3 linked regions of the Rhinolophus ferrumequinum genome follow. The protein of the gene in region 3 purifies or fractionates together with the protein of the main gene of each other region. This does not show direct contact. Links are inferred from orthologs where the notes say so. Each region holds a gene or a part of one and is shown on either strand. Other genes may lie near its edges. The genes, in order: SMC4, URGCP and HECTD1.

Region 1 (3,747 bases), on a different chromosome or scaffold from region 3:
AGTTCTGAGGACCAGTGCCTGCTAATCTCTGGAGAGATGTTACTTATGAAACGTAGGAATCTATATTTTCCAGTTAAATATAGTAGTGTCCTAAGCTCACAGGAGATGACAATCTTTCATCTTGGTTTTATAAAAAAAGAAATTCTTAAAAGAAATGCCACCAGTCTCAAAATTCTATAGAAATATACCTGTTAGGAGTCAAAACACTACATTATAAAGCAAATCTGGTAAAACCACAACAGCCTGATTCCCTGCTCACCGCCTAAACAGGTGGTTAAATCCCTAAGGCTCTATCCAACTCTCCGTATCTTTGGTCATCTGGAACCTTAACTTTGGACACTCTAGATCTCCAGCGACACTGTCAGAAGGGTTTCGTAAGGTCATCTAATTACTGGACTCACAAATGTTACGGTGGTTTCGAGGACATTATCATCTTCTCTTTAATCGCAATTTAAGACCACGGGAGTGAGGTGAGGGTCAAGCAACTTTTCATCACATTAACATAGTCATGTTGATTCTATCTGAAAAGAAGTCCACTGGCTATTGGCTGACCGAGCCGATTTCCGCGGAAATACAAGGCCACAAACAGAAATTCACAACTGAAGCAATTTACTCGCCCCCATTCCCTCAAGCACCGTTACACCGAACTTGCACGAAGAGTCTAATCTCTGAAAATCCCCGAATCGCTTTCTTGATCTGATCTACCGGGCAGACACGCGACCTTCAGACGTCTAACGCGCAGCCCCTCTCTCCTGCGCCAAATAACACGGCCCAGTCCCGGGTTGGGCACGGACCCACTCGAGTCCTCCAGCGCGCTTTCCGGCCCAGTCTCGGCCGGCTACTCACCTGCAGTAGCAGGGGCCCTGGGCCCGGCGCGGCCCGGCGGCGGCTCGGGCTCCGCGTCGTTGCTGGTGCCGTCCGGGGACTGCGGCGGCTCTTCTTCTCTGCGCCGAGCGGTGGAAGGCTGGGTGCCTTTACGGGGCATGGTCGCTGGGGCCGGGTGAGAGCCGGGAGTTAAGTCAGCCCGCGGGCCGCAGGGCCGCGCGGGTACATTCCCCGCCGGCTCCCGCGACGTGATCGGCTCAGCCTCTACCCCGCCCCACTCGGGATAAAACTCCGTTCTCCAGTTCCCGAGAGCCTGTCTTTAAAACACCGCTCAACGCCAGCGGGTCCTTGGGCAAGAAGGCACCCAAACCCCAAGTGCTAGAGGTGCGGGGCTCGTTTTCTTAAACAAGTTCCAAGCAAGTGGGAAAACCTAGACGTGCCTGGGAATCAAGCCACCACAGACTACTTGGGTTCTTATTTTTTAATGCCCCCTCCCCCGTCGCCCACAGTTTAAGTGTATACGAATATCTGAATGTAATTTCTGAACGAAGTAATTTCCATACGCCGGCATTTACTGACATTCCCACGTTCTCGGGGCTAGGGATGCAAGCGCAGACTTAGAGGAGTTCGCATTAGTTTTAGGTTTGCGGGGCTATCAACTCTTCCTAGAGCAGAAGGCTAAGCTTAGGACGACTGGCTGCCCCGTCCTCTCCCCGCCATTTAGCTCTTGGCGCCGTTGACGGCTCGGGGGCTTCGAGGTCTCCTCTCCACAGTCCCACTGGGCAGGGCGGCCAGAGGCTGGGGTCCACCCCTCGGGACTTCCAAATCGGACGCCAGCGATGATCGGGGGTGTCTCTCCGGGACCCGCGGCGGAATCCCGTTGGGTAATGAACTACGAAAGGTCACCAGTAAGGGCTAGGACCCGGTGATTGGTCCCTCGGGAGAAGAGAGAAGGCAAAGGGTCCGGGGGAGACGCCCTTTCCTCGACAGACACCAGGATTTCTGAGATCCGCGAGGCTTAGAGCCCCCTCCACCGCCCCGAGCGATGCTTAAGAAGATCACAGAAGTAGCGCCCGGGAGAAGCGCGAGGCAGCCCGAACTGCCGGGGAGCGGCCGCGGGGGGAGGGGTGACAGCGAGAGAGATCTCCCGGCGACAGCCTCAGCCCAGACTTCGGCTGCTCCTGCTCAAGGCCTCTACTTTCCGGGCACCCGCGGACGGGGTAGGAAGTGAGAGTGTGACAACCTGATTAGGAAAAGATGTACTTTACCTGCGGGTCAGTCCACTCAGACCAAGGCTGGAAACGGTTGTATAGACCCCCCCGTTCCTACCGGTGTTTCGGCTCCGGGTCCTTCACTCGAAAATGGCGCCTAAAATACAAACTCGAACGGAAATTCGTTACAAATGCGCGCAAAGGTTTCTGGGAACCACTAATTTTAAAAAAAAAAGTGCGGCGATTATCACCGCCATCTTCTGGTCGCTTACACGCATGCGCAAACTCCGGCCCTGGGGAACCCAGGTGGCATGGGACGTTTCTTCTACGTGAAGAGGAAGAGCAAAACACTGTGTTCCTTGGGGCCTACGGCAACAGCACTCTTATAAAAAATATTGAAAAAAAAACCTGGAGAGTTTTGAAAAAGAAAAATAAGAGTAGGGTTCCGCCCAAAGCTGGAGGCGGGGCTCAGTCGTCCAATAAAGCCCCTTAAAGAGAGGGCGGGCTCCCTGAGGGGCGGGGTCTCAGGCCCGCTCGGGTGACGCGCGGCGGGAAAGTATCGCGGGAAGAGGGAATGAGCGTAGCTCTTTGAAGTCACTATGGTGACGGGAAGGTCGGGAGGCTTGGTAACTGGTCCCCAGCTCTGTGAGAGCAATCGCCACCGCAATTCTGGAACGTAAGGTAAATCTCTTCACCTCCGGATGTGGTGAAGAAAGGGTTTGGAAATTGTAGCCATCACTGGATCCCACTTTCTTTGAGGGTGTGTGCGGCGGGGAGCATCTATTATTTTCCATCTCCCTGGTGGCAGTGGGGCTCTGTACGTAGCTTTTGGGATGCGAAGGAGGAGCCCAGAGTTTGGAGGGAATCGAGGGACAACAAGGAGAAGAGAAGACCTGGACTGGTGAATGATGGTGTAGTCCACATGTTACTAGCAAAATAATAATTTCGAGTTATTGGTGTTAGATCTTTAAGTGTCACTAGAGAAAAGGGTTTTCGGGCTTTTGAAATCATTTGATTGAAAGACCCCGTTATGGAAGAAACGATTTGATGATGTCATTTGGTTATCTTTATGAGAAAATGTTTTTAAAGTAGCTTTTGTGTACATCGCACTGTGCAAGACATAATCAGGATTATTAAGCAAATATTGTTGTTCCCAGAGAACTTAGTTATGTCAGTGGGTTTTTATCTGGAGTCTGTGGATCAGGGGTTGGTGATTGGGCTTCAGAGGAGTTCATAGCGCCCCCCCCCCCGAAATGATATACAAAATTATGTGTGTGTGTGTGTGTGTGTGTGTGTGTATGTGCGCTCATTTTTCTGGGGAGTTAGTTTTCCCAGAACTTTGATCAGATTCTGGAACGTGGTCCTAATCCCCCACAATGTTAACCACTGGTTGATCTGACTATCTCCAGTAAGTATTCAGCAACTCTTCTGACATTGAGAATGGGGGCCTCCTTTATTTTTTCTTTTAAATTTTTGCATACTTAGTGCCTGGCATACTAAAGCACTAATAAATCTGCTTAATGAATGAATTTATATTGCCATTCTATTTAAGTGTTGTGACTCTTGTTCTGAGGAGCATAAAATCAGGTGCAGTAATTCTCAAAAAGGGGTGTGGACACTCACAAGTGTAAGAATTTCGTGAGCTTGGAGACTGGTGTGGTTTGAATACTCATTGACTTGATATCCTAATGTACCTTTATATTTGAAGTTG
Region 2 (3,747 bases), on a different chromosome or scaffold from region 3:
GTGACCCTTCAGCAGGGTCATGGGGAGATACTACTGCAACACCACGACCTGAGGGGGCTCCACGGACAGAACCGGTGGACTGAGCAGCTAGTGTTTGTACTGGGTTCATGCCTTGCAGGCTCGCCGAGTGGGAGGAAACAGCTCTAAAATGCAGCTTTGACCCTGCAGAAACTTACACCAGAATCAGGCTGTAAAGAGGTTACAAACACTCGTTATACAAAGTCTACACAGCACACACGTGGCAACCTGCAAAGCCAGGTGGCCATCCGTCCCGGCATCGGGTTGCTCCCAGGGCCGGGGGGGACTCACGTCCGGGACGCTTATCTGCAGAAAGTGGCCACGGTTCTCCTGGATTAATCCATATACTTATTTGCAGCTAGAAACTTTTCTAAAAGTTGGGGGCACGTCCGTGAAGAACACAGATATCCCTGCTCTTAGCTTACACTGAACGAGGTGGAGAGACTGGCCAGCAACCAGAAAATTTTAAACAGGGGCTGCACCAGGAGGTGTGAGGTGCTGGGGAAGAAAGAGCAGTAGACTAGGCTCAGGGCACCAGCGTGCGGGGAATGGGGTGGACGGCTGCTGTTGTTCCAAGGGAGGGCAGGGTGGGAGAAGGGACATGCGAGTCCAGGCTTGGCAGGAGGTGAGGACGCGAGCGGGAGCTCCCTGGGCAGTGAGTGGTCCAGGCAGATGTATGGCTGCTGCAGCAATGGTCCGAAGGTGCAGGGGACACACAGGATGCCATTGTGGCGGGTACGGAGTGCACAGCGCACAGCAGTAGGAGAGCTCTAGTCAGAACCAGCTTCCTCAGAACCCCAGGCAATATTCCTGTCTCATGTTGAGAGCAGATGAGAGATGGCAGCACCTGAGGTGACAACACTGGGTTGAACTCTGAAAGTCTCTGTGAAGGATTTCAACAGACTGGATAGAGCGTGTGAAAAAAAGCCCAGGAAACCTCCAAGTGTTCAGGCTCCAGAGAGCTGCTGCTGTCTCTGGTGGGAAAACATGGGGTGAGCAGGCTGGCAGGGACCATGAGTAAGTCAATGCCCACATGCCAGCTGGGCACACAGGGTAGACCTCCGTGGAAATGCTGAGCATGAATCAGGGCTAGAAGGGGCTTGGCGGGGCTCGAGAAGCCAGCCCTCCTCCAGGCACCGCAAAGACCACTGTCAGTGCCTTCCCTAAAGACACTCGTCTACCCACAACAAAGGCAGAATCACCTTGCTATTTACCCATGACAATGGGAAGAAATTATGGTGCCAGGAGACCGTAAAACCCAAGAGACCAACTGGAAAACAACTACAAACAATGAGAGAGTAGTAAGCTGAGGACAAACAGAAATCTTTTTAAAAACTCAACTGCCTTCCTGTATACAAAAATTTAGAAATATGGAAAAGGAAACTCCCATTTCCAGTACCAACAAGAGGAAATTTAGGAATAGATGTAATAAATGTGCAACATCTATATGAAAAGAATCTCTAAATACTAAAGAATATAAAAGACTAAAACAAATGAAAAGGTATATCCTGTTTGGGCAAAGGAAGGCTTAGTATAATTTTTAAAGTCAGTTCTCCCTAAATTAACCTGTAAGTGAATTTTTTGAACTTGTAAGGTTCAACACTAGATAAGCTTATTCTATGGAAAAATATTTGTACAATAAATATCAGGAAAATTCTGAAAAAGAACAGTAACAAAGGAAGACAAAACCTGCCAGTGAGTAAAACATGGTCCAAGCCACAGTTCTGGTTCATGGACAGCCCAGAAAAGGCCAATATAGCTGGGAATTTCATCTCTGATGAAGGTAGCTGAGTATCGTGATTATTCCTTTACAGCAGCCTGGAAAAGTAACAATAATCCCTAGTCCTCCTTTCACCAAAATGAATACCAAATGGATCTGAGTCAAATTAGAAAATGAAACAAACAAACAAACAAAAAATACTGAAAGAAAATATTAAAGACTTTAAAAAAAGAAATCTCAGAGTGGGGAAGGCTTCATACAGTCAAAAGGCACATGACAGATGGAAAAAAAGTGTTTGTGATACAAATGACAAAAGGCTCATTTTCTCAACGTACAAAGATCTATAAATTCAGGAGAAAGGGCCCAGGACATCCCTAAAATGCATTTTGGGCTCTAAACAAAAGGAGGAGGAAGACACCGAACTCCACTGTGCTTTCCACCCTGTGAGACCAGACTAGATAAGGAACAGGGTGCAAGAGTCCCTTTATACCTTTTGAAATGGGTACCCGGTACCTGTGGTACTTCCTTTTTTAAAGTAAGGCAGCTAACAATTTTATAAAAATGCTACAATGTGCAGAATCCACAATAGAACCAGGGCAGCAGAAAGGCCTCCTGACAAGCAGGCGGGTCTGGGAAAGCACGACCTATGGAAGGCCGCTTCTAAGTTATTTCCGTGCCAGCCATGTGTTGTAAAACCATAAGCAAAGGCACAAAGGCTCCAGCGAGCTTCTTACTCCAACAAACCGGGCAGCAGCTTCAAGCGGAGCAGACAGTGCTGGACGACAGTCGCCCCCTATGCTCCTGGTCAGAACAAAATTCAGAATCCAACATTTCTGTTTGTGCCTCAGTAACCACATTTAAACCAACCATCCTTAATGGGGTCGTTTTACATCAAGTTTTAACTTAAAACAACTTAGCTGGGCCTCATTTCCCTATCTGTATAATGGGGATAAAAACAGTGCTTACTGATAGCGTTATTGTGCAGATTAACTTATTCTGCACAAAAGCACTTAGAGCAGGCCCCACAACACACTTCTTGGAAATAGGACTGCCACACAGGAAGAACACGGGATTTGGAGGCCCATCCATGAATAGCCCAGCAGAACCCACGGCTCCCCTCCCATCCTTGCCCTGAATGTCTGCACTTGTCCCCACAGCACCTACCTGGTCCACTAGAATGAGTGTCTGCCAGCCAGCTGACTGAGGCAGGCCACAGGATCGCAGGAAGCCAGGTCTCCCTGGCTGGGCTCTGAACTAGCTGCAAAGCCTACAGAGTAAACACATCTGGACACGTGGGTTGTCCCAATTTATACATACCATAAGAAGTGCATAGTTCTCTCTATAAAGTGAAATCAAGTATACTAAAAATTTTGTGACCTCAGCTCTGCAATCAGCACCCCTCAGAAAATTACAGATTAGTACCAACTGCAGACTCATGGTGTCACTCATAAACGGAACTGCAAATATCAAATCTGCACTAATGCCACTTTCTACAAGGATGCAGTTTAGGTCCTGTTGGCTCACAGAAGGGCACGTCTGCAAAGTGGTGAGCTTGGACGCCAAATGCACCATCACTTTTTAAAGGGCCTCGGTGCAACCACGCACAGGCTCAGCCACCTGACTGCTGCCGGCAGCCCTCCCGCCTCACCCTTTCCTGACAAGATGGGCAGGAATGCAGTGGGACCTTGACCCTCTGGGTGAATCAGCCAGGCCTTCAGAGGGACCGGCCCTCGTTTATTCTATTTATGAACTCAAAGTACTGGGTAAAGACCACTGCTCCCCAAACCTGGAAAGACGGCGGGTAGGAGGAAAACGCCGGGCTTGGTTCGAGTCAGACCCAGCTTGCTCTTGTCTGCACTGAGCCAGGGCAGTGCATGGCCGGCTCCAGCCTCAACAACGCGCCCGCAGGCCCTGCAGCTGTAAGGGGCCGTTGGGAAGTGCAAAGATGTACAACTTGAATGGTTGGCAAACCCGTCAGGGCTAAGACTCTCTGAGTGGTGGACAGCAGT
Region 3 (3,747 bases):
TCTCCAATAAAAAGTCCTGGAAGTACACACTGTTCCCCACTAAAGTCCTGTTCCCCTTCCCCAATAAAATCTTTAAAAAAAAAAAAAAGAGAAAGAAAGCTATATTCATACTTCCAATTAGTTTCTCCCGAAATATCTCCAATTATGTCCTTTAAGCGGGCATATTTTATTTTCAATGCGTTTGAAAGATGTTTGAAGGGAATAACCACGGACATACTTAGGAACACGAACCGCAGGAGTCAAAAGCACACTCTCAGTGCTGCTGCTTACTGGGAACGCCACTGGGCCTGAATTTATGCTTTTTGGAGCCTCAGTCCTCACATCTGTACAACGGAGATAATTTCGATACTATTTACTTCCCAGGCTTGTGGTGACAGGTTTTCGTTTCCGTGAGCTGCGGCGCAGTTTGCATCCATGGACCGAAGGGAGCCGCTTTTCCTCCCGCGATGCACTTCCTTGCGCGAGGAAGGGTGACCAGTGGGGTGGAGGGGAAGCGCGTGGCGGAGTACAGGTCGCCCGGCTGGAGGCTCGGCAAGGACAACTTGGGCGGCAGCTTCGCCGTGCAGCACGGGGCCTTCAGCAGCAGCGCGTTAAGCGTGTAGACGCCGTGCAATACTAGCAGGGCGTGCGTGCATCAGTGTGCGCGGGCTGCCGGGAGCGCGCTCGCATCGACTGCAAAGCGTAAAAGCGCCGCGGCGTACGGTAGAAAAGCGACAGCTGATAAAGCCGAGGGAATCCGAGGCCCCGGGGGCCCGAGCGCCTTGGCTGTGGCGGCGACGCGTCCTGCCTGTTGGCGCCTCAGCGCCGCTGGCCGACGGGTGTCCGCAGCGCCCCACGTGGCGGCCAGCCGGGTCGCTGCCAGGAGAGCCGATTTGCTCCGCCCCCGCGGAGCTCAGCTGCCCTGCTCAGCATCCCCGCCCAGCTCTCGCCCGACCCTCTCCCTTCCCCCTCTCGGATCGCGATGGACGCGGCCTCCCCCCGCCGCTGCTGGCAGCACCGCGCGGGCCTCTGAGCTGCGGGGCCTGAGGAGCCGCGTGCCGGCGACTGGACTTGAGCTGGCTTTCTCCCATCAGGGAACCTCTCGCTTTTCTGTCACCAGGTCCCCGCGGAGGAAGGGGAGGGACGAGGCGCGGCTTTTCCTGTGCCGCCTGCCCGGCTCGACCTGCGCGGCCTGCGGCTTCCTGGGAACTCGAGGGCCGCGGCCGGGCCTGGCTCTGCCCGCGGCCTGCTTGGAGCTGGACTGGAGTGGTTTGGAACGACAAGCCCGGGTAAGCTTGAGGGAACGGGAGGCGGGAGCTCCTTGGGCGGTCGGAAGGGCCAGGCCTGGGGGGGTCAGGATACGGGATGCCGGGCGACGGGCCGGGAGCGAGAGCTCCCGGACCCTAGTGAGGTCAGGTGGGCTGCTGCCGACTCACCCGCTTAGCCCCTTTGTTTCTCTCCCCTGGCCCTGCCCGCGGCGGGGCCCGGCTTGCGAGAGCCTGAGCCCAAGGCGGCCCCCCCTTGCCCTTCAGAAGGGTTCGCTGCCGGGCCAGGCCGGGGACGACCCGCCGGGCCTCGGGAGTTCAGGGCGCCGCTCCCGGGAGACCCGCTGTCCTGCCCCGCGGCCTCCTCTCGGGCACGGAGGCTTGCTTTTTCTCCTTCAGAACTTCCCCCTTCTCCTAGACACAGGTAGCTAACTTGGCTGGGTTTGGTGCGGGGAAACCGGAGCGCGGTGCCTGCGCCTCCCGGCGCGGGGCTCGGCTGGGCCCGGAGTGTTGGGTCATCCTGCTGGTCGCCGCCGTTGGGTGCCCACTGGTACCCGCCTCTGGATTCAGACACCTGCAGCTGGGTTACGTGGGACCTAAAGCTGTCCTCTTGTCAGGGAGTTTACAAGCTTTGGTAACGACTTGCCTGTTGGGGCTGCTTCTCTGTTTTGTGTATATGGTGTATATTTTTAACCAACTGCTCCATTCTGCGGGGATGGGGAAAGAGGGACATAGCTAGTTCATTGCATTTACTTTTAGCATTTCTTTTTAAACTTTGAAGAACAGTTGCTAAAACTGCCAAAATAATCAACCAAGTCTTTATTCATAGATAGATTTTTCTATCTAATTATCGTTTGTATTTGGAGATCTTAAGAATAGCAGTAAGTAAATTGAGAAGTCAGCAGAATTGTGAAATTAGAGCTAATTTTAATGCAGAAACTTAATTTGGAGGGGGATGGGATCAAACTGCTTAACTCTCCTCAAAATACTGACTCTAACCTTTATCTTAAGATCAGTTTTGGGTGGAGGAGGGGGGAAGAGGTTTGCTGGAAAAAAAAGAACCTTTAGTAAGGTGTTCTTTGCCTTTTGGCACAGACGTTAGTGATAGCAGTAGTGGGATCCGAAGCTTGTTTGACTGTCTTTGACAAAGACAGCTCTGGTTTCCAGTTAAGCAGCAACCTAATCAGCTTATACTCTTGTGCAAAACTGGTTTTTATTTAGTATGATATATGAACGTTAAACCTGAGGAATAAGGGCAGTTGAAAAACTTAGTTAAGCACTATATCTAAACATACTTATGAGTCTTTTCTAATTCCTAGGAGTACATCACGAAAATTTGGTTCTAGCTGATATAAAGGAAAAAATTTTAAACCCAAGCTGATCAGTCCTGGACATTTAAAGGACTTTTTCCCTTTTTTAATTTAAGCAAAGAGGCTTTTAAAAAACCATGGCAGATGTGGATCCGGATACATTACTGGAGTGGCTACAGATGGGACAGGGAGATGAAAGGGACATGCAACTAATAGCCCTTGAACAGCTATGCATGCTGCTTTTGATGTCTGACAACGTGGATCGTTGTTTTGAAACGTAAGTACATCCCTTCTTCATCTTCCTTTGGGGTTGCTGTAATGACATTTGTTTTCAGCCATTTGCTGACTTCAGTTTGTGTAGAATTTTTTCTAGGGAGTTTTACAATTTTTTTTTAACTTTATGCAGTTTTGCATTTACATTTTTCTGAGAAATAAAAATTGGTATGTGAAGTAACTTGAGTAATGATAATTGTCATGACACAAATACATGTTTGTTGAATGAATAGGGTTTAGTAGGGAGTACTATTTTAACCCATACCTTGGTTGATTCATTTTCAAAATATGTCACGAACTGGGAAAATACAAACACTTTCCTTCTTTAAACGTAGCTATTTCTGTACCAAGAAATTGATGTGGAAATATAGATGATAATGAAAATATGTTTACAACTGCCCATTTCTTTGTAGGTATTAAGTAATATGACATCATATGTTTGTTACAACAAATCATTGATTTGTAAATTTCAATTTGGAGGGTATAAATTGGATGTTACCCACATAGTATACTTTTTGGAATAGTAGGAACATTTTGAAGTTTGGAGAGTTTAAACAATTTTATTTAAAGGTTATACTGTAGAATTTGTGCAAAACTGTAAAAGAATTTATTATTAGATTGGCCATTAATGCCACGTTTTTCCTCTTATGTGATACTTGCTGAGTAATCATTCTTCTGAATGCTGAATACATTTGGTTTTTACTGTTTATTTTACATTTTGTATCTACCATTTTAAATTCCAATAATAAGTAAATGAAAACTCACTTGTTTCTATATTTGTTTTAACAACCATTTTGAGATAATTAATAGAAAATATTTGAGGTGTTGACATAAAATTTGGTATAATTATCTTAATTTTTCTGAGGTGGCAATAAAGGCTGTATTACTCACTAAATTGACAAAGTATTTTTAATTGTCTA

Evidence for each region.
Region 1: the proteins of HECTD1 (region 3) and SMC4 purify together in Homo sapiens (affinity purification with western blotting; 3 studies listed by BioGRID, with this or other methods). This does not show direct contact. The link is inferred for Rhinolophus ferrumequinum from reciprocal best matches to the Homo sapiens genes HECTD1 and SMC4.
Region 2: the proteins of HECTD1 (region 3) and URGCP purify together in Homo sapiens (affinity purification with mass spectrometry; 4 studies listed by BioGRID and IntAct, with this or other methods). This does not show direct contact. The link is inferred for Rhinolophus ferrumequinum from reciprocal best matches to the Homo sapiens genes HECTD1 and URGCP.

Annotation. Positions count from the first base shown.
Region 1 is NC_046285.1:79,424,907-79,428,653, forward strand, and holds the start of SMC4 (structural maintenance of chromosomes protein 4), read right to left. Parts: upstream 2,250-3,747; 5' UTR 2,094-2,249; intron 991-2,093; 5' UTR 986-990; coding exon 847-985; intron 1-846. UniProt on the Homo sapiens protein: Central component of the condensin complex, a complex required for conversion of interphase chromatin into mitotic-like condense chromosomes.
Region 2 is NC_046303.1:35,280-39,026, forward strand, and holds the start of URGCP (up-regulator of cell proliferation), read right to left. Parts: upstream 2,927-3,747; 5' UTR 2,903-2,926; intron 1-2,902. UniProt on the Homo sapiens protein: May be involved in cell cycle progression through the regulation of cyclin D1 expression. May participate in the development of hepatocellular carcinoma (HCC) by promoting hepatocellular growth and survival.
Region 3 is NC_046289.1:80,128,731-80,132,477, reverse strand, and holds the start of HECTD1 (E3 ubiquitin-protein ligase HECTD1), read left to right. Parts: upstream 1-962; 5' UTR 963-1,268; intron 1,269-2,670; 5' UTR 2,671-2,691; coding exon 2,692-2,831; intron 2,832-3,747. UniProt on the Homo sapiens protein: E3 ubiquitin-protein ligase which accepts ubiquitin from an E2 ubiquitin-conjugating enzyme in the form of a thioester and then directly transfers the ubiquitin to targeted substrates.